2 linked regions of the Styela clava genome follow. The main gene of each other region encodes a partner of the protein of the gene in region 2 in a complex. Links are inferred from orthologs where the notes say so. Each region holds a gene or a part of one and is shown on either strand. Other genes may lie near its edges.

The links.
Region 1: telomerase Cajal body protein 1-like (region 2) and H/ACA ribonucleoprotein complex subunit 3-like share a complex: the UniProt entries of both Homo sapiens proteins name them as parts of the telomerase holoenzyme complex. The link is inferred for Styela clava from reciprocal best matches to the Homo sapiens genes WRAP53 and NOP10.

The regions. Positions count from the first base shown.
Region 1 is NC_135263.1:5,480,452-5,496,693, forward strand, and holds H/ACA ribonucleoprotein complex subunit 3-like, read left to right. Parts: upstream 1-9,138; 5' UTR 9,139-9,255; coding exon 9,256-9,450; 3' UTR 9,451-10,165; downstream 10,166-16,242. Other genes in the region: uncharacterized protein LOC120341376, read left to right, coding at 310-397, 968-1,074, 2,126-2,395, 3,445-3,574, 4,586-4,649, 5,195-5,397, 5,853-5,986, 6,612-6,787; transducin beta-like protein 3, read left to right, coding at 10,239-10,279, 10,523-10,670, 11,451-11,643, 12,479-12,650, 13,268-13,604, 14,285-14,440, 14,684-14,884, 15,459-15,565. UniProt on the Homo sapiens protein: Required for ribosome biogenesis and telomere maintenance. Part of the H/ACA small nucleolar ribonucleoprotein (H/ACA snoRNP) complex, which catalyzes pseudouridylation of rRNA.
Region 2 is NC_135264.1:10,542,942-10,560,105, forward strand, and holds telomerase Cajal body protein 1-like, read right to left. Parts: upstream 7,756-17,164; 5' UTR 7,660-7,755; coding exon 6,830-7,659; intron 6,287-6,829; coding exon 5,584-6,286; 3' UTR 5,534-5,583; downstream 1-5,533. Other genes in the region: uncharacterized protein LOC120333624, read left to right, coding at 1,476-1,618, 1,830-1,961, 2,563-2,707, 2,920-3,027, 3,518-3,656. UniProt on the Homo sapiens protein: RNA chaperone that plays a key role in telomere maintenance and RNA localization to Cajal bodies. Specifically recognizes and binds the Cajal body box (CAB box) present in both small Cajal body RNAs (scaRNAs) and telomerase RNA template component (TERC).

The sequences.
Region 1 (16,242 bases), on a different chromosome or scaffold from region 2:
ACAGTACATTCGGAATTCAGATATTCCTGATGTTAGTAATTACTTCCTTTGGAAATTTGTCATCTTCGGCATTGGACATTCGAACAAAAAATGAACACAATTTTATTTGCCACACTGTGAAATAATATCAATAAAAACAATCTTTATCTTGAGCGTACTGCATTGCCAACATAATTTTTACAACAGTTATGTAAAATTGTCTGTTCAATATGACCCAATTTATTCCATATTCAACAATCTTCTCGTGTACTTGGAATAGTAAATTGTACAGTTACTTGTACATTTATCATATCAATATTTATATTTCAGGCACAATAGTGAGTTACTGGAGAGATGATGATGATAAACGAGGATATGTCATAACTAAACCTGCAGCCGGAAATAATAAGACTAAAAGGTTGGTATTACAGTTATCGAAGAGTTCAATAACTGGATAAGTCCATGCTCCGAAAACAAATAACTGGCTAACTAATCCCATACTCGACATGGACTGGTAACCGGACAAGAGGTCGTGGTTCGCCATATTATGATTAAGTTAACTTTTCTGTGAATCCTATCTTAAATATGTAAATCTCATCCTATCCTACCTATTATTCGTGAGATAAAACTTTTATATAATTTTCGCGCAATTATAAAGAATTGGCATAATAGGATGTTCACGAAGTCCTGTATTAAATTAGGTAAAAAGACATTTACTTCATGTACATGTAACTAGTTGTGGTCCTAAAAAGTGTATTAAAGGAAGTAAAAGAGCTCAAGTAAATGAGCATTGATTGAAATAAAAAAAAAAACTGGTTAAGATATATTGAGAACAGACTGCATGACAGAATTTGGAAATTTTTGAAACTTTATGAACACCTGCTGCACTGCCATTTTTAGACTGTGACTCTTTATATTAATTTATCTGTAGAAAAGAGATTTTTTGTCAATTTTATTTTCCATCATTGCTTTTATTTCCAATTTGCAGGTACACAAGGAAACAAGTTATTGTAAAACTTGAAAACTTGTCAAACGATTTGAAGTTATTGAAGCTGCAGCCTGCATCTGGTCTTACTACAGCAGATGTTAGTTTGGGTATGATGCCATTATTGATTTGGTAATAAGATGGGATTTTCATATTTATTCTGAGGGAGAGGAAAGTCAATAAGATGGTATTATAATGTGGCAAACCATGTCCTCTCATGTATCCATAATAGTTAGCCAGCTGTTTGTTTCCGATGAGTGGACTTAATGGTGAATGGAGTCTTACTCGACCTATGGTTTGGTTATGTAAACCACCCTATGATGGCGAAAAGTCCAGCAAACCTCTCGCACATAATTATTCTTGCCGGGTTCCTTGAACCTAAGAAGGTTAATCAGAGGTATAATGGCAAGCTTATTCCTAACGATTGACACAATGCACCAACCGCCTTTTAAACAGTATTCAAAAATTATTTGAATGACAGGCAGGATAATTAATGCAAAATAGAATATGGGTAAGAGATTAGATTTCGAGTCTTTTCCTTTCGACTCCTATCAGCATGATAAATATAAATGAATTAAAAATGCAGCTATTGACACGCAGTGGTTAAAACATTAGATAGAATCAAGTATGATGGCATAGCAGAAGTGAAAAGAGGATAATTATGTTGGATATTAATTAAAAAAGCTTAGCCAACTTCTTCCGTATCTAAAAGAGCGGTTTCCAACCGCTGGTCTGCGGACCGATGCCGGTCCGAGAAGCTTCTTTGCCGGTCCATGATAAGTTTTGTTGTTTTTCTGCTGTCTCAATCGTTTTACCAAAGTTGCGTTGTTTTATTAGGCAATTTCTCTTCTACCGTCATATTGCTGTTTGATAAGTGTGGTATTATTAATGGCCCTATGACGTCTTGGCGCAGAGTAATTTCACAGCATGATTTTGAGCCTGGCACCTAGTTACAGACTACTTGGTTAATATATTTTTTCGTTTCAGCCATTTCAAAATTTTTGCTGGTTTGAGAGAACATTTTATTTGATTTTTCTGGTCTGCCAGGGTAGAAAGGTTGGGGAGCACTAATCTAAGCTAAGATCTGTTAAAAATTTTGCCCACTTTACAGTGTGTATTCTTTTAGTTCTAAAAATCACTGAATTTAATTTTTTCAAACAGATAACATCATGGATGGTAAGAGACGTACACGTCGGTCAAGAGCAGCTGATTCTGCTGTGAGCAGCCCTGCCGCATCCAGACCAGGGACGCCATCTTCCACGACTTCTAAAACTCCTCGATCCTCAAGAAAACGTCGAGCAGATTCAGAATCTTCTGAGTCATCTTCCTGTGTACCTTTCCCAACAACTAAGAAATCAAAACGAGGGAAACTTAGTTACGGGAGTCCAAGAACTCCAGCAAAACGAAAATCTTCGAATACACCATCTAAAGGTGAGGTCAAATGTGAAAATATTTTCAGATGAATCAACCATTTTGTAATACTGTGAATTATGCGATATCATAAAACAATAACGAGAAACTGCGGTTTCGATTCATTTGCTCTTACTCCATAGTGACACCGTGTGTCCCATCACTAATTAATCAATAACTCGCTAATTATACGACATAATTCATCCAAAATCAATAGGCTTCTGGTCCGACATATGATGAATGCACATGCATAATTTGGAGCAGATTCAACCTCGATTTTGAGAGATATCGCGTGTATCTAACAGACAGACAGACAAACAAACAAACAGACAAATACCTATCAACATACTTACCGATCAAGATCGATAAGTAATGAGTAGGGATGGGCAATGTAGAATAATTTACTATTCTAGAATACTTAAATCAAATCTAAAATACCGAATCGTATTCTGTTTTTATAGTTATTTGAATAGCGGGAATTCCCCACCACATTGCTGGATTGGAAATTAAAGCAAAATTGTAAACGCATTACTTTCTTCGGTATCAATTGAAAATGTCCTAAACATTGGGAATTCAATACTTTGGGATTCGGATCCTCCGGATTTGGTATTCTAAATTGCCCATCTCTAATAATGACTGACATATTTCATTATTTTTTTAGGTGAACTAGGCGTCATGCCGCACAAAAAAACAATTATTTGGATTATCTATATTTAGAAGGACTGTAATCTTTTCTGTTTGGCCCTGCCTACCCTAGTTATAACACCCTGAGTGAGGTGTTGCCTATGTTACAAAAGTACTTTCTTCATAACTTTGCTCTATTCAGATATTTTCAACTTGAATCATAAATAAGTGAATGCCTATAGTTGAATAAATGGTAAATTACCATGAAATGTTGGTTTATTTGCTGTTTGGAAAAAGGATTTACAGAAGTTTTAAATTTTATAAATCTGACTGATTTGTATATATTTGGCTGCAATGTGCGCTAATTATTTTTTTTCCGGTACTTACAGTTGAGTTTTGAATCACTTCGAAAAAATAGATTAAATAAATAAATGTTGTTTTCTTAGCATCCATGACATACAAAGAAAGCAAACTATTTGAGAAATGTGGATTTTTACTGACTTCAACAACAGGAAAAGATCATCCATCATCCGAGTTTGATTCACCTCCTTGCACCAATATTTATGGATATGACAGGTAATATATTATAAACCAGGGCGGGCAATTTTTTTTTGCGAAGGGCGGGGTTCATCAGAAAATATTCTTGGCAAAGGGCTGCATTGAGAAATTGATTGTAATGTCACAGTTATTAATTCTATTCGCTATGATATTGTCGAATACAGTTGTGGCTTGCATTGTTGAACATTAATATTACTTAACAAATCATAGTTTAGATAATTTAAATGAAGTTAAAAAATAAATCCAAGTTTTGTATGTAGTTTTGAAAATGTTCACAACCCTTTTCCAAGAGCAGGGGGGGGGGGGTGCATAAATTCGTTGACGGGCAGTAGTTTGCACATTCTTGTAATAAACCATGATTAAGGTAGTTTACCAAAACTTTACATTCAAAAATTGTTTCCTTTTGGAACTGATGAACTAGTGAAGATCAGTTTGCATGATTTTGATAAAATTGAACCAGCAACACTTGGTAATTATTTTTGAAGATATTGCAATTTAGAGCAGGGTTTCTCAAATTGGGCCCTCGGCCCCCCTAGTGAGACACGGACAAGCCCTTCACTAGCTATCGTTCTCCATGACTAAATTAATTAAAAAAATTGGCTTCTTATTGTTAAATATGCTATAAATATCACTATTGAAAACTCTTTGGAACTCTTTGAAAGAAGGCCACAGGTATTGGAAGTTATTAATTTTCCTCACTTACATTGTACATAGCATGGCAATATTTTTCTGTTTTCCCTGAAGTTACAGGATCGTAACTCTCACGGTTCTTCACTAACCGAAGCATTTTTGCTTGCCCATTGTCACTATCTGTCGTGATCATCTGCGCAGCCAAAAGTCTAATTGACCGCTTTGGAGCTTTTTTGTTGCTGTGTGCTCAATTAGACTATACTGACACTCATGAGTTTCATATCAGTTTACATGCTCTGTACAGGGGGCTAAGTGGATACAAGACCATATATTGAGAGATGATAGTTGATTTTATATTTGTTTGGATGTGAACAACTTTTATTTCAATCTTTTACGCAGGGAAGTGTTGAAGAAACAAATCAATGCTGGGGATGGTGTTGTTGTCAAGGATTTCACGCAGTTGGTAAACTGATTTATATGCTCTGTCTCTGTGTAATTATGTCGACAAAACTTAGGCCTGATAATTAATACTTGTCTAGTCAACTTGACTGCCTGCATTTATTGGTAACAGGAAGTTGGGGTTGGATTAGAATTCCAAAATAGCTTTTGATTTTTGTTGAATCTATAGTTATTAAACAATATACTTGAGTTTTTAAATATCTTTTTCTCACCCGGTTGTCAGGTATGTGCTAAATAAAAAGAAGAATAGTTGGCGCTTAGAAGTGTGTGTACCAATATGGAGGTAACTAATTTTGGTCGCCTACTTTACATCAAGTTGTGTAAAGGGACTGAAACCTATGGGCAGGGGGTATATTCACTTGGCTAACACAAACAGTCCCCAAACTCATAATATAACTAAAATAAGAAAAATCGGATAAGCATTTTGCCCTAACGTGGCAGCTGGTACACATACTACGGGAGTACCAAATAGTTATCGAATTGAGCATATTCTGAATATCTTGAAAAAACTCTTGTGTTGTCATTTGTGATATATTATTTTGTTCACAGATGTCATGTGATCGAAGTGAGCTTTACGTCGTATCAGATAATTTTTGTCGAACAATGAATTATTTCAACGCACTAGCTGCGGGAATCCAATGCATATCTTATATCTGGATCAATGATTCAACAAATGCTGGGAGATTAAAAGCAATAAAATCCTATGTTTTGCCCGCTGGATACAGTTTGCAACATATGGGGATTGTGGAAAGGTAATGGATAAATTTAGGAGTTGTAAACAATGTTTTAGTTAAAGTTCAACCTCAATTTCATTAACGTTCTTCCTCACCATCGAATCAAACTGTAATTTAAAATAGAATATTGATATTTGAAGATTTGGTATTCTTGATTCAATGTAAGTAATCTAGAATAGTAAATTAAGCTGAGGGCGCCTCCCAATGTTTAAACTTTTGGAGCATTGTTTTAAGTCAACAATTGTCTTTTCGGTGATGAATTCCAATTAGGATTACCGGTAACCATAATTAGATTAACTGTTATCAGATGGTTAACGGTTGCAAGTTCTGTCATTCCAAGTATTATTCCCTTTTCTAATGTGTATTCGCATGATAAGAATTGCACATATTTTTCTATCGTTTTTGAAAGTGTTTCACTGAAGTGTATCCCAGCCCAAATTCCAATATTTATATTTAAATCATAACTTTTCTAGACCAATATCTCCAATCCAACCACTGTCTGGTATTCGTGTCAGTTTACATATGAGAGATCTAGCAACATGGAATCCTTTACTGTGCATTGCTGGTTGTATATCAGTTTCAACAAGGAAGGATAAATTGAAAACTGGTATGATAAAAGCATTAAAATTAAATATTGTTCAAATCGAGTCAAAAAGTTTGATTGATTTCAATGCTCTGGCAATTTAGGTTCCAATGGCAATAGCTCATCAGTCCTATTAGAACTTACGATTTTTTTTATTTATCCCGGGGAGAGTTAATCTTATCAAATGACAAACCACAATCTTTTGTTGGGTTGCTTGGGAATTTTAAAAAACCAACGCAGCAGCAAATAAAAAAAAATCGGAAAGAAGTGACTTGAAAGCATCTAGCGCCAAACCTCAATAGTCCAACCCTAAAAAATTGCCCAGTTAACCAGTTATTTGTTTCAGATGCTCGGGCCCTTATCTATAACCAGTCAGTAAATTACTGCAAGACATGTCTTTACAGGGAGGCAGAAGGTTCAATGCATTTTTGCTGTCATTGTCACTGTGTTATCTTTATTTCTCAGCTAAACTTAATGGCCCAGCATTCTCGCACCCCCATTGCACAGTTTTCGCACCTCTGGTAAATGAACCCAGTAACATAATCGAATCATTCTTTCTCCCTATTTGTTATTCACAACGCTTCTGCTCTTTTTAGTCACTGATAACACCAAATTAAGTGTTTTATAAAATCTCTCATGTTTTTTACAGATTGTTCTCTATCGTGTGACGTTGTGGTTGCTGATTCATCATGTGATCAAAGTATCATGGAAAGAGCGGAGAAACTCAAGATTCCTGTCGTGTCAATAGAATGGGTCATCCAGTGTCTTATAAACAATAAAAAATTACCTTTTATTGGTCATTCTCAATATTCTAGGTTTACTTGATCAACTTTTAATAATTTTCATTTTCTACGAGTTTGGTAAAAATACGTAAAACCTGTAACTATCCAATTAATTCATTAATTAATTCAATTCAATAATAGGAATTAATGAATGATAGTAAAGGTGTTTAAGGCTTTATCAATGTTGCGAAGCTAATCCTATTTAACTCTATTTCGAGTTGAAATTATCTGACTTACCTGACATAGTCAAGTTGCAAAAATACGACTCAAAAGACTTCATTTCGAACTGCATTTTAGGGTTTAGAAATGTTGCAAATCGATACAAGTTGATCTGAAATATATATGTTTTCTTCTGGTCCTCAGAAATAGATTTATTTAACAGTTTTGTTCAATCATTATTAGGTAAATTATTCATACAGTTTTTGTGTAAAATCATCAAAGCCATTGTTCTTGTTCTGCCAAATCGTGCAATATTTTATTCACTGCTGGTTCTGTACTCAACCATTTCAAATTTGTTAAATTCTTGCTTATTTTAATGACGGTCAATGTTATAAATGAAATAGTTTGATTTGAAGTTGAAATGCATTTAAATATAACAATGGAGTTGTTCTGGAAATGTTTTTAATACAAAAATATGATTTTAAATCAATGCAAATGTGGTGCATTGGAATGTCTTACTGGTGCTTGTGCAGTGAATCTCATATCTCTGTTTCAAAAATATAATTATCACATTGTTTGATATGGGTCTAACAGATCGTTGCCATCATTTAATTTTTGTTTTGTTTCGTAATTGCTGTAATAAACAACCCGCTGTCTTTTTTATATTGAAAAAATAAACCAAATGCCAAATTTTTGAATGAAAATTTGATAACGTATTGCTTAATTTCCCATGGTCACACAAAAACGTTATCTGTAAGAAATATGGGATATCTCTATAATGACGCAGAGAGAGTAAGATTGTTTATCTGTTGGAACTTAGAGCTAGATGAAATATCCCATTTGTGTACAGAATATCGGAATGTCATTTTACTGATTGGTGAGACGTGACTGGTGCCACTCATAAGTAAAACTTTATTTTGACTACATTACAGACGATGAAATAATTGATAAGAACAGAATAAACAGAATCGGGAGAGCAAACAAAACCTTTAGGTTTAAAACGTATGGATTGAAAGGTGTTGTCAAGAGGAGAGGTGCGCGTTCACTAACCCAAAAGCATTAAATTAATTATTAATACGTGCACGCGTATATACAATCACGGTGTCGGAGATACAATAAAGTTGAAAGAGAAAAAACTATATATATATATATTACTTGGTGAAAGGGGAAAAAAATACGAATAAAGAAAGAAATTTGCCACACCACATCAATAATTTTGTAAAGATTGCCAGATTAGATTAGTTAACAGGAGTGAGATGTATAGAAAAATCTTTCTGTGGTCAAGCTGACCGTTGTTGTGGATCAAGGAAGATGTATATATTCTCATTGGTTGGACGCATGAAGAGGTGGGCTATACCGTGTCCGGAAAATTCGCCGCAAGAGCATTTTGCTGTTAAACAAGTATTTGGGATAAAAACGGTCAGGTTTATAGGGTTAGGGCATGCCCTTAGCAATTTTTTTTAAATGAAAAAGTACTTCAAAAACCTAACTTTTTATCACAAATACTTGTTTTACAGCAAAACGCTCTTGCGGCGAGATTTCCTACGGCGAATTTTTCTAGAACTGTGCCAGTCATGGACACGCTGTCTCCAAGCTAGTTCTCTATTTTCACTTGTCTCTCACGACAAAATGGGACTTCAAAGTCGAGTGACCGTCATTCGTCCAAAAATTTTTTATTGTCCTTGATACCGAGATTATAATCGCCCAAACGCACAGGTTTCAACCCCTGTTCCGTGGGCTGCGCATGCCAAGTGTTTTCACGAAATCTAAATCCCAGAGTGAGTAAAAATAGTATCGTTCCATCATTAATGGTTGAGCGGAGAGTTGAGATGAGAATACAGCAATAGTGATTAAAAGCGTACGAAAATATTGAGTTGTAGTGGCAATTGAAAAAAGGATTATAACTTTATGAAAATATTAACGTGAAGAGAGGGCCTTCTCCAAACACGCCAACCAGAAAACAAAACAAAACGTATTTACATATAAAAAGTTAGAGTCGAATAAATGAACATTTTGGTTTGCCGTTACTCGGCTATGATTGGATCTTCAAATTTCCCGTTTGATTCTATCGTATTTTTAACAGCATAGCCCTATAATATTTATCATTTTATGCTTTTTGGTTTCAACTAAATAAGTTGATTTACCCAACTGGTAGCGCAGGCCCGATACCGGCAACCGGGCCGGACTCAAAAATTTGCAACAGCGTCTACTAGTGACAGAGACATAAAACACGTGTGTGCTGTGGGGAAATTCCCTTTGACTTGTTGAAAATTTGCTCTGCTGATTATTGTCTGTTCATTCAAGCTACCGAAATCAATCTTTCAGCATTATCGTTTTACCGTGAATAGAAAGATGTTTCTGCAATATTATTTGGACGATAATGGTAAACGAGTTTACACCATGAAAAAGGTCGCTCCTGATGGTTCGCCAACCCAGTCTGCTCATCCGGCAAGGTTTTCTCCAGATGACAAGTTTTCGAAACAAAGAATCGCCTGCAAGAGACGTTTCGGACTATTATTAACCCAACAACCAAAGCCTGCGATGTGAAAGAACATTTTTAAAACGGAATATGTAGGATAGTAAAAGCTCAACTAACAATTTCACTACTTTTATCGGGACAACCAAAAAGCTTTATGTGTGCATGTTACAGTGTTGAGAAATCAGAATGAACTTTACTTGTCAATGTGTCTTGCTGACTTACCATCACAGAAACGGAAATTATAATCTTTTAATATTCAAAGTTTCACTCAAACACTGAAAAAGGATGTTTCACTATAACCATGTGGTGTGTTTTATTGATAGATCAAATATCCCTTCTTTATCACAATGCTTTTAAACCCCAGTAATGCCATTTTTTCGGCTTCCCAATTTGTGTTTAATTTAGTAGATTTTAATTGTTGCTTTATTTGTGTGATTATATATTCAGATATTGCAGCATTTTTATTCACCTTTCATTAAATATTTGCTTACAACATATGCTGGGTTAATGCTGGATATTTTTCATTCAGAAAAGATTTCTAGACAAGCCACTTGTGTATGGAAACTACGAGATCAATTCTTTGAGTTTAACTGAATATCTTTTGTACTTTATTGATTTGTAAAGTGGTGAATAATGGCTGACCATCTTTCTTTCGGAATTATTTTTATTTGTGACTTATAGGCCTACTCGCACCAATGAGCATGCTGTTTGTGTAGAGTGGTGTAATGTGCTAACTACTTGAAATTTCAATCATATAATCTTCTGAATGCATTTTTCCATAGACACATTCAAATCTATTTAATATTGCGAATCAATTTCCTATCCTGTATTTTGATTTTTGTGTCTGACATTGAAAATGGACTCAAAGTTGTCTGGAAAACTGCTTCTCAAAACAAAGTAAGTTTTTTTCCTCTTATTTAAAAAATGATTTAAAACATGCAAAATTGTACTTTATTATCAACTAATGGTCCATAATTTAGGTGTTTAAAGATTGTTCTCTTTCTAGTTTTGCTTGCCCACCCAATCTATTGCACCTTGGGTTAGGTGGTGGGCATGGTATATGAACCCGAAATGTGTAACCCGCGATGTCATTATTCATTTCCTACTTTCTAATAACTAAATTGTTCTGTTATTTTTTAGCTTTGCAGTGAAGCATAAATGGGAGCCATTTTACACTGGAGGATCAGTAGTTTGTCATAATGATGGTAAAACATTGTTATGTTCATGTGGAGATTCTGTCAAAGTCATTAATATTGAAACTGGAGAAGTAAAACACAGTTTGTCTCAGGTTGGGGTGATTTTTGTTCAATTTAAATATGAATAAAAATGAAAGACTATCATTGTTTCAGCAATATAATGTTGGAGAGGTCGAACTGAAAAAACTCGACAGGTTTCTGAATGATGATTAATCCTATATCATTGTGAACAAGCAAATTCATAATCACTATCATACCCAGATCTGTGGAGTTTGAGTTCATCTTATTTATTTTTCTTGATATTGAACATGAGTTGACATTCTAATTTTTTTGAGTCCAAGTCCCATTTTAGACCCTTATTAATGATGATAATTGAGATACAAATTTTTAGGAAAACTCAAATTGCATTGAGTTAACTAAGCAGTCTCAATGGGCACTTTAAGAAGGAACGTGTACGGCATTGTGTCTTTTAACAAAATTAAGTTCGAAGCTGGAGAGTTGAAATTTCTTCTAATATGTGGCTAAAGTTGGATTCAAATGATTTGTCATTTCGGGAGTCATTTTTCAATATCTCGTCGTTTGGAGTCGGGGCTGGGTGTGAATTTTTAGCTAATCCAAACTCCGAGAATATCAAATTTTATATGGAAGCCTTTGTATACACAAGCTGTCTTTTATAGGCCCCATTTGATAACACTGTTTTAGTTACTTTGAAAACTTCTTCTTTTATCGCCATTGAAAGTTTGAAAATTCTGATCCGCGACTAATGGGTTATCCATATTGGACTCTGCCCCCCTAAATCCGACTCCACTGACTGCTATAGACTTGGTTTTAATCTGCTTTTCTATTTTTCAAATTTTTATGTTTTTTACCAGGAGGGAGATGATGTCACTTGTATTTTATCTAGTCCAGATAATAACATCATTGTTTCTGCCACAAGATCTTTGTTACTGAAAGAATGGAAAATTGAGAATGAGGTGGCAAAATGTGTGAGAACATGGAAAGCAATTCATACTTCACCAATTCTGTGCATGGATTTTGATGCGACATCTACACTCCTTGCCACAGGTATGAGCACAGAAGTAATTGTAGTCAAATAAAAAGATTTGATAATACAGCTCATAAAAAACTCCCAAAATTGTTACTTATCGATCTTTAGATCGGTAAGCATGTTGATACCTATTTGTCTGTTTTTCTGTCTGTCTGTTTGTCTGTTAGACGCACACGATATCTCACGAATGCGTGGTTGAATCTGCTCCAAATTTTGCATTAGCATTCATCATATCTCGGACCAGAAGCCTATTGATTTTGGATGAATTATGTCATAAAATTAGCGAGTTATTAATTAATTAGTGATGGGACACACGGTGTCACTATAGAGTCATGAATCGAAACCGTAGTTTCGATTGATAAGTCTTCGGTCTCCTACCGATATTCTCGTTTACATTTCAAAGGAAATTTAGCAATGCAATATATAGTTTGCTCTCTACTTGAAAGAAGTTTTGCAAAGTAAATTTTACATTGGCAAACTTTATCAAAATCAAATTCATCAGTTTAATGAGAAGTTGAAATATTTTTGAATTCAAAAAAAATGGAGAACGAATTTAAAACTGAAATGCACAAATTGGCAATTTCCTAAATTCAATTGGTCAAAGCGATGGATGAAGCACATTTCAAATGCAATCTGAAATTAGATTTATTTTGTGCAATCCTAATCACAAAATTCGCTTTATACATGAGTGTGAGTTTGGCTTGATTAATAATGGTTTTATGTTTGGATAATATTTTTGTCCACACTATGTACGTTTTCACGCTGCACCTTTATCCACATACTCTGAATCTAAATCTACTGAAATATCTAAATATCAACATGTAATTAGCTATTCTCTTATTCATTATTTAGGAAGCAGTGATAGTACCATTAAAATATGGGATATGTTGCATCAGTATTGCACTCATAATCTGAGAGGATCCCAAGGTGTAATATCAGTTGTGAAATTCCATCCACACGATTTACAATTGTTTTCTGCGTCTAATGATTATGTTATTAGAATATGGAATCTACACACGAGCAGGTATGATCTTTTATTCATTTGGTGATACTTTGTTTGATGAGTCTTGTGCAGGGGTGGGCATGGGCCGCGACGAGATTTTGACCAGCCCGCTGACTGTACATCAGTACATTATGATATTACATTATTACACTTTTAGTACATTATGATAAATTCATTATGAGTTTTTTGGTCTCTATTTTTTTCTAGTTTAATTTTCAATTTAAACACGATTTATAATTTTCTTTCTTGCATTAGTTAATAAATATGTGATTAAGATATTGAATACTATTCATGTTATAATCCGGCCTGCTGGGAACTTCATTTTCTAACATCTGGCCCGTCGACTAGAGAAGTTGGTACGACCACTGGTACAGAAGCTACTGAGACTTTACAGTAGAAGAATTACAGCATCGTATTATACTTTCACATCGTTCGCTATGAATAACGCTCTGAACAAGCTTCCATTGATATAAATGTAATTTTTTTTTTAAAAAGCTGGAAATCTCTCCAGTTCTGCATGATGTGGTGCGCAGAGGGTTATCCCGAGATATTTCATCTGATATGGCAACATTGCCAAAGATTGCACTTATTCTTAATTTTCATGTTTCAGTTTTTATTAACTAGTTCTCTGTTTTCAGATGCATTTGTATGCTGAATGGACATGTTAGTGCAGTTACATCACTTTCATTCATTACAAAAACTGAATCTCAAATATCTTTAATAAGTGGAGGAAGAGACAGTGTGTTGTGTGTCTGGGACTTGTCGCAATGTAAAGACAAAAACACTGTCGAACCAAATAAAACAATCCCTGTATATGAGACTATTGAAGGATTATTAGTTTTGCCAAACCAACATATTACTAAACTTATAAAGACTGCAATTTCCGATGAATCTTCGCATGTTTTAACTGCTGGAAGTAGTGGAAATTTGAGAGTTTGGAATTTATCAACCGGGAAATGTATATACACACAAAAGGTAAATATGTAATTCAAGGTGATACCTCTGGGTTGGATAGTAGTTCTAAGTGTAGCGTTTAATAAGCATATTTATTGTTCAATTAATAATATTTTATCTGTCTTCTACCTCTATCTACCCTTCTCTCCAAGCCAATTGATCTACTAGGCCTATTCTGAATACATTCTAAAACATTGGTTCTCAAACCTTTTTTGTTGAGGCCCTTCCCTTTTTAGAATTGATCGAGTCTCGCGCCACACCTTAAAAATAACTAGCTAACAATAAGCTACAAATACCAGATAGTATTGCGAATGTTTTATTTGAATTTGTCCTTGAAGTTCAGAAATGTTGAGATTCAGTGATTTAGAAGTGCTTTTTTATTTTAACATTGTTCAGAAATTGAATCAAGAGCTTCTGGGTCGAACTCTGAGATATCAATTGATCGAAATGAAATTTTTTCAAATAAAAATAGCCCTTTCCTGAATTATTCGTAAAATCAAGAATTTAAATTTCAAAACTATTCAAATAATCTATCGGCTTCGAAATTTTTCCGAACGATGTGAAGATATAGACAGGCCTTTTACTTTGTGGCCCTGCACAAGCAGTTATAGTAATGTGTATATGCTCAGGTGGCCATGCATTTAAGTATATTATATCTTTGTGCCCTTTCTTGCTCCTAACTTCGCATACTCTGTTTTTAGCGTTTAACTGAAACAGAAGAGACTAAATCAGACTCAGAACATGGAGCCATTGTTGATCTTCTTTATCTTGAAAATATTGAAAAATATGCAACCGTGACTTTCGATCATAATATCAACATTTTTAATTACGATGACGGTTTTGTTGAAGATAGACATGTAAGTCTGTTGAGTAGAGATGTTTTAGACAGGTTCAATATAATAGTTGAGCATTAATTAGAGCCAAACTGAGATGCCTTCTGTTAAAACTATATAGCACTAGCTCTGCAAATATTCTTGATGATATTTTTTAAGTATTTTATAAGAATATCACTCAAACATTTTTTTTTAAGCCATCGATCAAAAGGAAAATTCGTACTAATTTACAAGAAACTACTGATTTTTGCTACTATTCTTCTTTAGCTCGTTGGTTATAACGATGAAGTTTTAGATGTTCGGTTCTTTGGTCCATCAGACAGTCATATTGTCGTTGCAACTAACAGTCCTCTTGTAAAAGTTTTCGATCGAAAAACATCTTCTTGCCAACTACTATCTGGACATCGAGACACTGTTCTATGCCTTGATGTGTTTAAAGATGGTTTGATCCTTGCAAGCGGATCAAAGGTACAAGATTATATGTATAGATGCTCTGAGATGTAGTGAAAAATTTTGAACAGTTTTTGGATTTGACGAACATTCCTCATTTTGTCTGGATATGTCAACTTAATGGAAAATTTATATATACGGTATCTGTCGGAACTAAAATTAAATAAGAGACCCAAAGAACATGGCAGTTATATTAGGAGCCAAAGCTTCTCTCGCATGGGTTTTATGATAACGTTTTGGGTAGACTCCATTTAGGATTAAATTATCAGAATTAAATTCAAATTATGGCCAGATATTTTTTTTCATTATTAGGAGGTGTGTAATACAACTTTGTTAAATAAAACTTAACGGAATATATATCAGTTATGATAAGTTAGTTGCTTGCTACAAAATACGTTTTGCAGATTATCGCGTTTTCAAAATACGAAGTTAGTTTAGTTTCACAGTGTGTATCTTTAACAATGTGTCATTGTACCACTAGGTGCCAGCATTGGTTCATCAACACTTTCACATACATCTTGTCAACATTATGAAATCCAAACAAATGTTATCCCTAATGCTTGTATTTTTCAGTTATCAATGATTTTTTCAGGACAACTCAATCCGTTTGTGGAGGATGAATCCAGAAACTTTTAAAACAACCTGTATTGCAGTAGGAAGAGGACATGCTCATGCTGTCAACACAGTCGCTTGTTCAAGGTAGGAAATAAACTTGCTGTGGTGTTTAAGCCTGACACTAAAGGCAATGGGAAATTCTGTTATTAACAACCAACAAGATAGGCTTTCACCTCATCTACTGGTTGGAGTTGGAGTCTTACAAATTCATTCTGAAACACAGGAGACTTATCTCCAAGCAATAAAACAGCAATTATGAAGATCATGATAATTGTTGGGCAAGTTTCTGTAATAGAATCGAGATAATGTAGGAATGTAACAATATGACTTGTCACATCAAGATGACTTTTTTATAATAACCTGAAAGAACAAGTATTTTGACTTCCAGTTATATCTTGTTTAGGTCTGAATAAGTTAGACCATGATCTTATACAAGCTTACTAATACACATGCTATTTCTTAGAAATAGTTTATGCCACTCTTATAATACTATCTTATCAAGTATCACTGTGACAATGGTCACATACAGATCCAAGTTGGGAAACAGACAACAAGAAAATACTTACAGTTAATACATAATATCCTAGTACCTTGACCACATCGAAAAGTTGAATGCAGGTCTTCATCCGTTCAGATTATTGAGTTTATTTTTTAATATGAATTAGTTCGAAGCAAAGTAATATATAGTTTATAAATTTTATTAAGTAGTTGCAAAATATTTCAAATAAAAATGATAAATAGGCAACTAAATTGTTCAATAT
Region 2 (17,164 bases):
CACCTAACTTGTTAAAATCGGCAAAAGCACTTTCGCACTTTTTTTTTCGACTGCGAAGCACTTTCGCACTCATAATTTGCTTAGAGTTAACACTGGTTGGTATTCACGTGATCATGCATTACACATGAGACCGGCTTATTCTATTTCTGTAATTGACGCTGTGATGTCATTACATGGAAAATCCCCTGGTATGAAAATGGTACTCTCATAGTATGTGTACCAGGTTAGGGTTAGGCCATAATTTTATTCTGATTTTCCCTATTTTAGTTCTATTACGAGCTCGAGGACTGTCTGTGTTAGCCAAATAAACCCCCTGCCCATAGGTTTCCGTTCATTTACACAACTTAATGTAAAGTAGACGAACAAAATTAGTAACCTCCATATCGGTACACGAACACATACTTCTGGAGTGCCTGAAAGAATTGTAAATACGGGAAGCTTGGTGGTTATGTATTGCAATATATAATCGCAATCAGTCTTCTGTGTAATTAACTTATGGATGTCTAATCTGCACAGGAAATTTTTTTGGTTACCATCAGGTGGGACAATTGGATGTAACAATTGGGGATTTCAAGTAAAATGAAAGTAAATTAATGTTATTTGTTTTAAATCAGTTTTTCCAGTAAAACTTGCTATTTTTACACTTAGTCATGAGACCATAGCATGACAATTGGAAACATTTGAATATAAATTAATTATTTAATCCTGATCTATCAGCTTTTCACAATGAAAAAAATGAGTTTTCTTGTATCCAATTCGTGACATTTTTATTTTTTTGTATATATTCACTAAACATAGATTTTGCAATGCCATGAATTCAATAACAATACTATTATTTGTCATTTAATAAATCGATGCGTTGAAATTTTGTTCTATATTTCCAAAGTAGAATTCCGTTATAGAAAATTTTTTGTTTGTTTTGGTAACAGTCATACAATCTATCCGTTATAATCACACAATAGATTGTTGACAAGCCCATAATTTTTAAAAGAATATGATGGTATATTATACTAAATCAAGTATGATCCAAAGATAAGTTATGCATTTGCTAAGATTTAATATTGTATTATGTTCGGGAAGTAGTTTTTATTTGGCATAAACACTTCCTATGCTAATAGAAGAATGTTTCGTAAGTACTCATATATTCCGAAGAAGTGAATAATCATGAAATTTCTCTAAATTAAACTCGCTAATCAAACTGAAAATTTATCCATACAAAAATTTAAGTTTGTAATATAAAATTATTTTTGTTGTTAGACTATTAAAATACCGCTGCCAAAAAAGAATTTTTATAAAAGCTGACCTTTTTTTAATTCCTTGGAGGTTTATCCTATGCAGGAAAATATGTGCTAAAGACCAGCGGTTTTCAATGGAAGCTCTGCGGAAAACAAGAGTATATATCTATAATATATGTATATTGTTTAAATATACTCAAATATTCTAGGTTCGCCACTAATCAATTTGTTTTTGTCTAGATTTTCGCAAGCGGTCGACACCACATATGCAGAAGTATGGAAACAGATGTTGGTGACTGAACAACAGAAACAATTGTTACTTCATCTTATGAGCAAAGAAATGGCAGTCAAGAAAAACGTTCTTAATTTCAAAGAATTTAAAAGTTAGATAACTGGTTATTTCAACTAGAATAGACAGACTCGCAAATGTGCAGATTTTAATTCTGATATTTCTTGTATAATTCCTCATTCTGGAATCGGAAATTTCGTTACAGCTTTTCTATTAGGTCCATCAACTTCACTGTTCTATCCCATCTTGTTATCATTATGTGGATTGTTGGTGTACTGTTGCTTTAATACACCATATTTTTGTAGGATTTTGCACGAGAGACAGAGAAACTCTTCCTCTGTCACAAGCGATTCGACTATATGCAGCGGAAACATATGCAATGAAAGAAGTCTTCAATGTCAACTCTAGTGTTAGATTGTCTGCAATCGCAAATCTGAGTGAGTATGGGCTCGTCACAAAATATATCATGTTCAAGAATAAATTGCTCTATAGTTGGTACAAAATTGGTTTCCATCCCATACTGGTCCCGATAACCAGATCTGGTTGGTCTGACCAGTTTTCATCTTCCCTTCAAATACATTCGAAAACTCAACCATGAGGATGTCTGAAGAAATTATGTTTAAAAAAATTTAAATTAAAGCTGTATGCAAAAGAAATTTTTAGGATTTAATTGAGTTGGATTTTGCTAATTTTTATAAGGCTTGTGAATTTTGAATTATAAATTTACTTTATTTTATAATTAATCAATAGATGGGAGATGGGAGAATACTATAATCAAAACGATGTTAAATTTTTTTGTAAAATATATTGTTTTTTATAATTAAAGCGATACCTCTGTAATCGAACATAACATCTTTTGAGTAATAATTTTTTGGTCAACTACCGAATTGTCCGAGTATCAAGTCGTTCGACTACCGAGGTATCACTGTATATATTCATATTGTATAGTTGTAAAATTTATCTGCAATGTTCCAGTTGCGTAACAATCTGTCCAACTCAGCTTTTTATTAATAATTAAAAATCATTTTTTTATTTCAGGAAAGTACCAATCCAAAGCAGTGATTGACTCATTGTTGGATTTACTGGAAGGTGAAGAAGATCCTGATATCACTGTAGTTGCAGCTATATCTCTTGCTCATGCTGCTAGTGGAATCAAAATGTTTAAAAAGAGAGCTGAAATTGGGTAAGTCAATCACATTGTGCATCTGAAGAGGCGCGAGGTCGAATATTGAGGCAAATCAAAAATTTGTCTGAATTTCATTTAGCAATTTCATTAATATGTTGTGTTACTGTTGAACTAGTTAAATATTAGAAATTTTTTGGTCAAAAACTGGTAAATAGTTCCTACTTGTCATTATGCAAACTGTCAAATATATGTAACATTATATGTTTCAGGCTTCTGTTATGTTTGGATCACAAAGATAGATTAGTACGAGAGAGTGGATGTCTTGCATTGGGAAGATTGAAAAGTAAAAAGTCAATTTCAAAACTTGTCCAGTTATGGTAAGAACAATTTTACTAGATACAAAAAAAAAACTACTAAATTGTTGTTCTTATTATGGTTTTTATAATTCACAGGAACATCTTCATATGACATTCAGTAAAGTTCCTATAGCATTAGGCAGTCTATCGTGGTGGAATAATAACTGATCCCTTTTTATATATCACGCAAAGTCTCGATGAAATATTAGAGCTCTTGGCACTCAAAGAAAATTTGAAAAAATAAATTTTTAGATAGTGAAATTTTAAAATCAATTGATCCTTTAGTAGCAGAGAAACATGATTTTTGTCGACAATAACCACAAGAATTTAGCTACACAGTCCAGAGGTCCATTTATAAATTGTTTGAACAGAACCCTAACTTACATACAGATATATAATCTGTGAATATCATGAGTTACCAGCAATAACATCAAGTTTTTTTTCCTGGAATCCATTGGGAAATTATTAAATTCTATGTTCTATTTTGAGAAAAATATCAAATATCTTACAGGCGAAATGACACAATATCATCGGTAAGAGAAGCTGCACAAATCGCTATTAATCAAATTGGTGGAGACGAAGCCGAACAAGCAATGCATGTTACTAAAGTCTTATCGGAAGAAATCGGGTTACTGAAAAAATCTGACTAAATCAATTTATATGTTCTATTTTTTCTGAAAAGGTTTCTTTCAATGAATTTGATAATGTTGAAATTACTGGTTAATTGTTGTTGCGTAATTCGTGATTTTGAACAAATTTTAGTACAAGTGTAAATCTTGATTTTCGAACATTTTTTTAGTTCCAGTATTATGCACCCTATTTTCTCGCGGGTATATTCGAAATTTTTTTTTTTTCGAAATTTATGAATATAACTATGATTTTATTTGCAACATAATAAGTTGTGGATGTGTTGGCAATTCTATAGATATCATAATTAAACTTTTGTTTAATATTTCTTCAATATGCCTTGATATGACAATAAAAATGATATGTTTTACTAATTTTTATACCCATCGTTTTTATAAATTAATGAAATTTTTTGAACTTTTTTATTACCTGAACGCTTCCATTTGAGTTTTTAAATATAGTACATTACACAACATACCCACAAACATAAAAATGCTTGGTGTCTAGTGTAACTACCAGGTTTCCCCGAAAATAAGACAGGACCTTATTTCAATTTTCTTTCGAAAAATAACAGTGCACTGGTGCTATTTTGGAAGATGTCATTTATCAAAATTATAAAGTAAATAATTACAAGATTTACAAATATACAAAATATGGAAACCAATATCCACTTACTTATAAATAACATGTTTTCATTTAAAACGCGGAGATATTTGCTATCGAGTCGGTCAAAAAAAAATGGACTAAGTCTTATTTTAAGTGGAGGGATTATATTAAAATCATATTTAAAATTTAGGTTAGGTCTTATTTTCGGGTGAACGCTGTCTGTATATGTTATTTCCGTCTTTTTTGAAATCACATATATCCTTACGTCCAATATACTGACATAAATCATCTAATATAACTCTAACTAAAAAACAACTTTGATTTATCTTAATACCCAGTATATTATTTTGTATTAAATTTGTATATTATCTAATTATGAATACAGGTTTTGTATCATTCATTTAGCTTTTCTGTGCTCAACTTATTTTCTATTTAAATAAATCAAATTTTTTAGTTTCATCAAGCATGGTTTTTTATTTGTATTTTTGGTGAATTCTGTGATTTTTATTGATTATTTTATTATTACTTTTAATTGCGCAATTGCAAAAATGGTTAAATCTGTATAGTACACAGTATTAGTACAACAATGGCGCACTCATTAGTTAGTGGTAGATTTATTACTGACATTGATTTAAAATTTTCTCAGGGTATATGGTAACTAAAAATTATTGAATTTTTTTTTTGACATAGACAAATTAATTTAGTTCAATTAAGATCAAGTAAACTGATTTTTGTTTTATCTAGTGATGCAAATCTCCAAGTATTTAATAATAGTTTTTTATAGATAATTTGAGTTCTTTTGACAACTTATGATAGGATGGTGTTGACTCGTGTTGAATATTCATATGATATCATACACTTATATTTTTATTCATGTTACATCGTTTCATCTGAATCTATGGAAAAGCATTATATAGTTGATTTTTTTACCAATTTTGCAAAATTATTATCGTTTTTAAATCGTATTCTATGAACAAAAACAGGAGTCCTCAATTAGGGTACACTTTTAGCCAGGGTTGGACAACTAATTAAAACTCCTTCCGTCGACAAATGTTGTGAATTTTGAATCTAAAAAAAAGACAGGTACATATATATATATCCCTGTATACTCTCTTCTTTCATCCCAAGTCTATATTAATTATATAATGGAAATAACTGGTAGTGTAATACCCCTTTCATCTCGTATCGCATTGCAGCTGTAATGGTCCCATCCAGCATATGGGATCGGAGGGACTTTTCATTAACTCAGGGTTAGTTCTGTGTTTCTACCACCTTTACCACACATCATGCATCATAAGTTTTTAAATAAATTTCATATTTACTGTGAAATGAAGTTTATCAAATTTATTTATCGCACAATCCAGCAACATGCCAAAGTTTTAACATATTCTCTTCAATTTCAATAGATTCATCCTCGCTTTCACTATCTGAAAATTCACCGTAGTGTCTCTGTCCCGAGCTTGTAGCAAGAACGGGCAAATATGGGTGAACATGAACCCCATTAGTACAATCTCTATCCGATTTGAATTTGTAAAAGGGTTGTTTTATGGTGGTGTGTGAAAGATCAAATTCCAGCGCAGATTTAGCATCCCAGAATGATATAAAGCCGTCTGTACCACCAGATATCACTGTATTTTCTGACAATATTTCTTCGCTTAAAACTCCCGATACCAAATCAAAATATACCCTTTGGTTTGTATCGACAGTTCGCTCCAAATGAAATAAATCTCCGTTAAGAAATCTGACATCCCAACAAACGATTGCATTGTCCTTACGTGAACCAGTATACAGCCGATTTCCATCTGGTGAAAATTTCACTTGTGTTATGCCTTTGTTTTTTGCATTAAATATGCTTATTAGTTCTCCATTTTTAGAGCTGTATAGCGCAACGGTGCCGTCGTAAGAACCGCAAGCAATGGAGGAACCATCTGGATGAAATTCTGATGTTGATATAATTCCTCGTTGTCCTGATGCTCGCTTGTGTTTTCTTGTCGGATATTTTTCACATTGGTCTCCTGGACGATCAATGTAGAATAACCGGAGTTCTCTGGAATATAAAAATCAGATGCTCTGTTTGTTCATAGGAATGTATAATAGGGAATAGTAGAATAAATGTAAATGTAGATCAATACTAGCTAAATAATGTTGTGAAAGTTGGAAGTTTTAGTGAGCAGACACTCGTTTGAAATTACGTATTAAAGAATAGGATTTACATATTTATCCCGGGGGAGAGGAAAGTGATTAGACGGCTAAATCATATGTCCAACCACGGTCTCTCGTGGGTTTGGGAAGCATGGACTTGATGTCAAGGGGAAGCCGTAACCTACCAGCGGTTATGTGAACCACCCTATGACGGCGATCCAGCAATCCTCTCGCTCATGAACCTGCGAACCCACGTGAGGTAATCAGAAGTGCAGTGGCGAGCATATTCCTAATGCTAAGCACGATGCGCCACACCGCGGAGCCAAATCAAAGTAAACAATATGTAGGCTTGATAGTGAAGTAGGCTATAGATATATCGCACACAAAAAATCTCTTGAAGAAAAATTTTTGGGATTGTATACAAATTATGTAAAATTGCGGTACTAACTTTGTAAATCCGCATATCATTTGTAAACCATCAGGGCTAAAAGCAATTGAATGTGCAGCGGTAATTTCATCAACGCTATTTTTTGCAATATAGCTCGCTCGTAAATCACCATTAAAAGCATCCCAGAGATGAATTGGTTGATCTTTTGCAGTTGTTGCTAAGCAACACGTCTCAGGATATATAGAGTTCATTCGAGGCCACCAAGTGTAATCGTATATAGTTTCGGCCTCCTTCAGCTTTAAACAAACTTCGATCTTGAAAGGTGATTTATCCCAATTTTTAGATAAAATTTCCATTGGAGTGTTGTAAAGTCGTATTATATTATCATCACTATTAGTCATTAAACATAATCCATCTGGTGCCCATTTGCATCCTTTAAAAAAATTTCCCTTTCCCAGTTCGAAAGATGCAAGAAGTGTTGTTTCAAGCGACTGTGCAACTACTTTTTCACCAATTGTGGATGGTACTACAGAAATATTGGTGGTCTCCAGTGTATCAAACGATTGTAGTAACTCATTTTTAGCAGTAGAAAGATCGATTTCTGTGTTATTTTTCTCCTCTTTCTCAACTACTAAAGATGTGTCCATAACATTGGGTCCTGTGGTCATTTTTTCTGTTTCAGGATTAAGTGATGGCGTTTGACTTGTTGGTACTGATTCTTGTGTTTCAATATTATTTCCAATGTCCTCATATTCTTGTTCCATATCTGCAATTTCGATGTTTGCAGTTTCTGAATTTTCGAAGTTGGATTCCGCTTTTTTACGGTTTTCCTCTACTGTTGGCGTTGTTAAAACTGCATTTTCAATTACCTCTGTTGTATTGTGCTCCATTTTTAAAGAAACAGAATATGAAACTCTCTTGTTTTAATATTTATATCACATGGAATACGGAATACAAGCGTGCCGGCGCTTTTATTAGAATTCCATACTTATAAAATGGGAATTCCCCTTGTTAATAACCGACATATCGGAGTCGACTCCGGTGGCTTTGTCATATTTGTAATGTATCATTCTATTTTCGTTTAATAATTAAATAAATTATTTTTTTTTGCCGTACTTTGCAATAAATTTTAATCAAAACTCACATCCAAATTTACTACGTCTACTGGGCTGTAGGCAAGGCATATGGATCAACTGGACAAATATCTGGAACAATGGCCATAGTCCTAGATGAGCGAGTCATGTTAATAGAATATTTGTGAGATGAAGAATATTATATATCTTAGTTATATTTCCTAAAAAATTTGATAACATTGCAAATTATGGCCAATCTGATACGCGTAATATTTAATATTATAAAACAGCTCTGTTTCTTTGATTGAATTTGCTCGGCGTCATATCATGTGGAAAATATTAGGGTTTTCTTTTATTAGGGTTGCAACAAATGTCAATTTTGTTTCAATGCATGATTAGCGGACGGTCCTGTTTAAATTAAATAATTAAATTATATGCAATAGAAAAACGGAAGAGCTATCCATCATAGGAAATTATAAAATTTTATGATAATAAAAGCAAAAGAGTATTATTGCATTATTGTCCTGTGGAACAACACTCCCGACATACCCAGTTACTGGTTTGACTTGTGTTGAATTGAGTATATATATATGTATATTTATGTCTACCTATTTTGACGACAAGGTAGCATCGTCTCACAGCTCCTATGTTTCTCGAATGTTGATGCGCGATGCAATATCTCGCGAACCAATCGCCGCTCAATGCTTTACAGTCCTCTGCTCTCCATTTCTTTCTTTATTATAACCGAGCTTTTTTCTTGACACGTGTACGATATGACCGATCGCCAAGGTCTTTTCAAAATTGTCGCTGCCGGGTGAGCATCTTTGTTGTTTTCATTATTTGTTTACGTTTTGTTTAAGATACTTTTGTTTTCACTAGCAGCAATCGAATCTTCATGATATGCCGCGCTTGGTTAGTTTCGTGAGATAAGATCTATGTCATTATTATTGCTTGTTTTGTTTGTATAATCTATGAAATACGCATACGACCCGCTGACCACGGCTTATGCAGCCCTGATTAAATAATAAATAGAATAGAATGCCCATGTTGTTGATTCAGAAGGGGGGAAGAGCATGGTATTTCAAAAATAATATTTACGCGATTATATGAATCTAGCTCAAGCAGTCAGTTAATTCAGTTTTTGTTTTACATATCGTCACGCTAATAACCGAATTGCGTGAGTCATTTTTAGCGGTTTTGAGAAAAACGTTAAAAACTTCCTAATGATACTGTTATGCCATTTTGAGAGTCAATAATTTTCCATGGTTCAATTTTTTTTATCGTAGCCGAATTTAGGTTAATTTGTATGACGCAGTTAAGTGACGTCGTAATGGCGCACTGTGACTTGGGGACACACGCAATTTTGCAACTTTACTTATATGCACCAGTCCTGAAAACTGAACATTCCAAAAACGAATGTAATTCTCAGTATCTACAATGTCTAATCCCCTAAATAGCTAATCAGTTTCAATTACATTATTTTTTATGTTTAAAAATATATATTTCATCAATATAACATGTTCCGCACACCCACCGAAATAAGACTAAGATGAAATATAAAGAATAAAACAGCAATGCACCCAATATTAAAGCCAACCAAGGTGAATCGGTCTCGGACAGTGTATATCACAAGTGCACGCCTTCCTATACTGTAGTATAAATTCAAATTAATACGCGCTAAGCTAGAATCCGAGATGCAAAAACTCGAAAATACTTCGCCAAGGTTCTTTTGCCTTTATGACGTCACAATAGTCATGCGGTAACAATGATAATTCATTATGACGAAACAATTGCACAAATGTGCATGTCATACTAAATCTCCATTTTTGATTCTCCAAATTTGAAGACAAATTCTTATATTCGTCATGTTAATAGTTGTAGAGACAAAGAATCATATACTGTAATTCGCCACTAAGTGCTGAAATGAGAATAAGGATTCTAGTTTTTATTCAAGCATTCTAAATCAAAATAGTACTAAAACCGAAAACCAATGGAACTACGTCTCTGTCCAAGAATTTTTAAATTTCATAAGTTGACGACAATACAGTAACCTTAAATGCGCATAATGACAATATAGTCACCTTGAATGTGCAACATAACCTATTGCGAGTAGACCAGAAAACGAAAAACGCATGCCAAAGTAACCTGAACGTTGATCTCGTCTCGTATTCGAAACCCGTTCGAGTTGAAATCGTCTCTAATAATTTTCAGGAATTTTATTCATAAAATTGAGGGTGTTGTTTCATGTTCAATTTTTGTGGTCTCTTCAGCAATTTTTGTTTCTTTATTATATTCAATTTAATGTTTTTCTTGGCACGTAATGTTTGAGCGCGCCGAGGTCTTTTCGGATTTGACGTCGTCAGGTGTCAGGTCTGCTTGTCCACGTTTGTTCAATATTCTTGCCACGTATCATTATTTCGCTAACGGACTATTATTGGCGTTCTTTCACAGTGATATACACTAATGCAGTTAACCTATGCCTATAATTATTGGTTTAATTTTCCACGAAATCCGAAGGAGAAATTGCTGAAACAAAACGAAGATCCAATGACCGACAAGCTAGATTAAGAATTATTCGTTCAGTTAGGCCATAACATAGTATACTACAATGATTGTTGGTGAGAAATTTCGCAATAAAGACTTTACGGAAGGCCCAACCAAATCAAGATAACGGGAACCGATGTGTAAGTAAACTACCTTTGGAATACCAATTGTTGGAATATACCAAACACGTTTTTACTTTTCAGGCTTCGAATTGTGACATCCAGAACTAGTGGTGTGGAAATGGAATAGAAAAGACGATTTTTTTCTTAACGGAAATACGGCCTTGCCGAGTTCTAGAGCTATTTTGCCTGTAATATTTTTCTGACGTTTTTTAAATTGTTTGGGTTAAAACATTCTTTTCGAAATTTTTTCGTTCCAATTCTTTATTCGTGTATCGATCCCATCTTATATTACAGCGTTTTCTTTGTGTTTTATTTTTATTTTGAAAATCATCACAACTATACTATTGCAGTTAAGCCTAAGACTAGACATAAAATTGTTGATTCAAATGTCTGCGAAGTGGTATTGAATTACCAAGTTCTGAAATTGTCGAACTCAGAAGCGAAGGGATGCGATTAAGAATTGGTAAGGTAACTGTTATCTTATATACGATAATGCACGAGTCTGCAGTAGTCAGCGAATGATATACAATAGTTGGTATATGAATTTTGTTGTCAAAAGTATTAGATGTAACGTGGTTCGAATGTACTTAATGCCCCTGCTTTCGCTTCTAGCTTGTTGTGTATCCTCGTATGGTAATACGGTCACTTGTGTAAATGGTAGTAGGATGGTATCAACGCAAACCATGTTTACATATAAAAAGCAAGCAGTCTTGTCAAATTCAACGCCATGTTTTTATGTTTCTTTGTGAACTTCGTATATTAGGGTTTTCATTTCCTTGCCGCAAATTTTCAATTTATTTTTACAGATGTACTAACGTAGACTAAACTTAGGAATAGAGTTGTTAATTTTACAGTTAGAACATAGCAAAATGTAAATTTTGAATTGCACCCGACAAAGGACGGCGATCGAAGATTTTGCTTCATTTGAGGCAGAGACCGACCGCCCGATATCAAGAACAGGAGAGAGAAGGTATGGCGGTTTAAAAACTTTTTCGACGTAATTCAACTAAAATTATCTATCAAGATCCTACACACATAACAGTGAAGCACAGTGCTTTAAATTGAAGCGCTCTACTAAAAATGTCAAAAAATTCCATAGTCACGTTGTTTGGTGATTTTTCCTATTTCAGGCACATCGGGATTGCAGTATGAATTGAAAAATGAAGAAATTATGGTAATTTAATTTACCTGTTGCAATTGGTGAGTTGTATTTTTCGACTATGGTTGGATGTTTATTAAGTTCTTGGTCACACTCAGCTGAATGACGTTATAGAATTAATTTTAAAGGTTTTACTGCGGTGAGACGACAAACTCTAATTATTATGGTTGCTGTTTATTTTCTGGTTCACAATTCCTTAATACCCACGATCTCTTTCCTCAATTATACACTGAATAGCAAAATATGATACTCAGTTCCCAATAAAGTTGTATAAATTCTATTCTATAAGTTCTATGAGTTCTATAAGTTACAACAATATTAATTTTTCCTCGTTTAGAATTTAAGCTATTCTGGTACCACTTGCTTTCCTTCACTACCGCCAGTCACCAAATTTTTAATTTTGGAGCTACTAAGTACGCCATATTCTACAGTAAGTCAAATTACCAAGTATTTCGGAAATTTAATTTACCTTATTTTTTTTTCTGATGTGATGAGACGGAATGTAGAAATGTGACGAATTTTGATCATAACTTGATCACATCTACAACATTCAGAACAGTATTACTAAAAGTAAAAATTTAGTTATTATTCAAAACTTTGAAATTAATTCGTGTAGAAATTTAGTTATGGGTTATGCCCAAAACAAAACTAGTTTCTACAATAATAAAAAAATGCATAATTAAGCAATAACATTGTTTTTATTGTAAAAATGAATATAAATTCCGAATAAATTGATGTCCTATATTTCATCACTCAAATAGAGATGTGTGAAAAAGTTGCCCGTTTATGACTTTTTGTCACAATAACTTGAGCCAAATAATATCGGACAAGATCGACGAACGTTGCCCTTGGCTGCAAAGTTGATCTTGCCTGCCCAGTTCATCTATAATTATGAAGAATGACATGCAAATTTATCGATTCATATCTAATAACTAATCCTCATTTTTCAGGATATGAACGGTACGACCTTGGTGACAAAGAGAATGTTGCTTCGAGATCTCCAGATACAATGTTTAGGGTCTGGTGTAATGCGAATCGTTAAACTCTCCTATTGTAATGTATTTTAATATGGAAGACTGAGAAATATGCCCGTTAACGAATTTTTATGTCATGTAGAAATTTTCTCTCGCAGTATTTTTAATACGATTTTGTATAGCATCTTTTGTCCCAACTGACTTGCTTTCCAAATTTATCGATTTGAACTAAGTCTGATAAAAGGTGTCCGAATAGTCCATTTACAACTTCTTTATAAAGTAAGTTCTCAATATATCTTAACCAGGTTTGTTATTTTAATCAGTAATTTGTTCAGATATTTTTATCTCGTTTAATACATCTGTTGAGGGCCAAAACAATAAAATGGTAATGATAAATTTTCTTTGCAATTTCAAAAAAATTCGATTTTATGACACGTTATATATCTGAAGCAATTTAAGTCATTACAGTACGGAAAACAGTTGTTTTGCACCATTATAACCCAATATTATTGGAATAAATGTATTAAAATAAATATAAGCAGATAAATTATCAATAATTCTAATCGTGCCGATAGCTTTATAAGAACTCTGCAAAATGAGATGTCCTTTTTTTCCAATTTTTTTACAATTCTTACGACTAAAGCGGTTTCGATAACAGCCCTTTACGTAAAGTTTTCGGTTGCAATTATGAGAACCTAGTTGATACGTTTTTATTGATAATTGATTCTGAGATGAGGGTGTCCAGTCAAATAGTTATCCTAATCGTCCAGAGATTAATATCAAGGAGTTTTGTCTGTATTCGTGAAGCTCCGGTTTAGCTCGAAATGTTCATGTTTTATATACATATCACCCCTGCTCGATGTAAAGTATGTGAAAAAATAAACAACTGCATGTATTTGAAAACATTTTAGAGACTATGATTGTGGAAGTGTGCGCTAAAATTCATCTATATTTGTTCGATTTATTGATATAAATTTTTTTCATTCCTCGCCGATTTATATATATTCTGTATTAATTTTTTCTCGCTATTTGATGAAAGTGTTATCTTGATGACCTTGAACTTCGTCTTGTTGTTTTTTTTTGATTTATCTTGCACTTCAAAGAAATAAACTTTTATAAGCCACAACTTTTCAAAGCTTCATAAAATGTGGGCAGAAAGTGAGTTTAGCTAGCTTAACAAGCGACAGACAATGAGACCTGTAGGGTCTTTTGATCGCTGGGTGCGCGGGCGGGACGGGGTAGCGCGGCCAAAAAATATTTCTAAAAAATTTATCTATGGCCAAAGATAAATTATTATGTTCGGCTATGTATGGCCCAATGATAATAAGGCATTTTGACGTTAAAATTATCTGTGGCCACACTTGGCCAATGATAATTAATTTTCGTCCCGAAAATTATCTATGGCCACACTTAATCGATGATAATTTCTCGGATTTTGATATTTTTAAGGGTCAGACCTAGGATTTTTCTTGATTCCTGTCATTTTCATCGGAATTAGCCCCTCCTGACGTCACTTTTATATCATCATGTGTGCTTATTTGAAGATTGAGTTTGAGAGATATTTTAAGAGTCAGCGTCGGATTCGAACTTTGGACTCAAAAACGACCTGTAGCCCCTTTTACCACTACACCATATAAGTATTGAGTTTTATCTAATTTAACTCTAATACTTATCTATCAATAGGCGTGGTCGACTTGGCAAGACAATCAAGCTGGAAGACGGACTTAGTCCATCTCGATTTTTGATAATCTTTCCGTTGTCCAGTCAGGTCGTGAAAAACTTCATACATAAGTAACAGACCTTGTGGACCGAAAATGGCAGAAATCGGATAAATTCCTAGGTCAAACAAACCCTTGAAAATACCAAAATTTCAAAAATTATCACCGATTAAGTGTGGCCAAAGATAATTTTACCATAAAATAACGCCTTTATCATTGGCCCATATATGGCCGAACATAAAATATTTACGACCAAATTTCAAAAAAAAAAAAATGGCCCGCTCCTTGGCCCCGGCTGCTCCGCTCGCACCCTACCCGCTCCAGGGAACCCGGCTCCGTAACCTTCTGCGTACTTTTTTTTCCGTCTCCCTGATCTTATCAACAGAATTTTATAACCTTATAAGATTTCGAAAACAATTTATTGCTCCAATAAATAAAACTTCCAAGATTTCAGAAATCAAGCAATAAAGAAAAAAACTGATGAAATTAAGATACCACAGCGAAACACGTAGTAATCATGAAAAGTTCCAATATTAAAATATAGATAATTAGAAGGAAGCAATTATTCAGATGTAGGAATTTAAATACTAAAATAATATTAAAAGAAATAATCATCCATTTGACATGGATTAATGCAGCATTTTATTAGTTTATGACAAAATTTCAAATAAACACTGGCGATGTTATTAATTTGAAAAAGAAAGGTCTGAATCAGATGTGGTGACACTATGTTAGTATCAAACCAATGCTTATATCAACGACACACAAGGGGAAGGGGAGGTCAAAGTTCATCTGAATTTTTGCTCAACTTTCAAAATTTACTTTCGTTTTTAAATTATTTTTTGTTTAATTCTCAACATTTGCTGTTCATGATAAAAATGTAAAACGGAAAGTTTGGTGCTAGTGACGCATAATGGGCGAATGTTATGTTGGGGGGTCATAATAAATAGACGAATTTGGGTGAGAGTTTTCATTTAAGAAGGAGAATGTCGAAACATACTTCGAATAGGCGCTATTAGATTTAATTTAAAAAAAGTGCAAAACATCGTTAAACTAGCAAAATTCGTATTCTTCATTAATTACGATACAAAACACTCTCGTATTCGCAAAAAGGAGCAACAGCTTCTTCCGTCACCAAGGTTCGTTCATTTTTTTCTTCATCGGTATCTGAAATAAGAATAAAATGAAACTCATATCTTACAAGTTCAATGGATAAATAGTACAGGTGGATTTACGATGAACAGAATAACGGGGTCTGGTCATTTCGATTTAGTTACGCTTAGTTACGTTATACGGAGTTTGTTCAAGGCAACTTGTTCTGAATTTGAGACGGTCACGGTCTTATTGGACATTATTGATAAAGAAAAAAAACGTAAACGCAAGGATTGAATTTACACTGTAAGATCATCGGAACCTACTTTTAGTAGCATTGGTGTAGTACGATTTGAATTTACACTGTAAGATCATAGGAACCTACTTTTAGTAGCATTGGTGTAGTACGATTTGAATTTACACTGTAAGATCATAGGAACCTACTTTTAGTAGCATTGGTGTAGTACGATTTTGATTAGGTTTCGAATTCTCCGCACACCCCGTCCTCCAAACAAAATATCCATTGTCCTGGCTAGCTATAATTCCGTAAAATATCGGGAATCAATTACTTAGTGAGAAGAGCCACGGTATAGAACCTTGTATAACATAATATATCTGTTGTTTTCAGTGGAAATTACGGCAGCACGAATTCATGTGAAATAAATACAAACTATCGACTTGGAACAAAGTACCATATTTTCTGTACTAAATGTATTTCTTAAAAGGGATCAGTTGTATTAATTCCACATGAAGCAGAAATACAGGATCTCACCATTTGTAGTTCTGTCCGCGAAAAAGTGCTCATTCAGCTGTCAATATTTTTTCGCTCTTTCGATCAGGTTATATTCGAAATATCCCTTTAAGATGAATAAGCGTTTTAGTACACGTTATTATATTGCAGTGTAAACTTATTTCGACTGGTAAAACTGACTTGCTGGTCGTAAAGAAAACCAGTGATCGTCGAAAAGATTTGGAAATTAGATAGTAATAAATGCCAACGCGTTAATTTGTAGAAAATACGAAACACTTGCAATCCTGATAAAATTTCCCGTTTACGTAATACGGCTACACTGCAAGAACATTTCATAACTTTTTATCAATCAACTAACCCATTAGAAAAAATAACTTACCAATTGCAGTTCTGTACTTGGAAACTGATTACTTGATAGCCATTATTACTTCGATCTTGTAATTCACAAAGAACTTTATGCCTTAAACAAAAACGTTTTAGTGTAAAACTGTGATATAAATTGTTAACAAATTGCGAGGAAATAGTTTTATACCAGTTTACATTTTTATATCATGCATATCTATTTCACGATCGCAATAACGTTAAAGACTCATTTGAGTGCGCAATAGAATCAGGTGATCAATTTAGACCTATAGGCCAGGGGTTCTCAAACTTTTGGTGTCGCGGAGCCCTTGAAATTGTGGACTATTATTCACGGAGCCCCAAAATAAATGTTAAAATTGTTACTTTCAGATTAATATTCTTGAGCAAGTTAAAAGTACTTTACTCAATTTAAATGCTGAACCTTTTTTAATAGAGTTAATACAAGTCATAAATATATCTAAATTTCAAACATAAATTATATATACTAAAGCTGTAAATTTGACACTTGACAAACATACTAATAAATTCGGGTTCGAATCTTTTGACATTTTTGGAAGACTTAAAAGGCCGCTAATAATGTGCGCGATTGCATTTTGTTA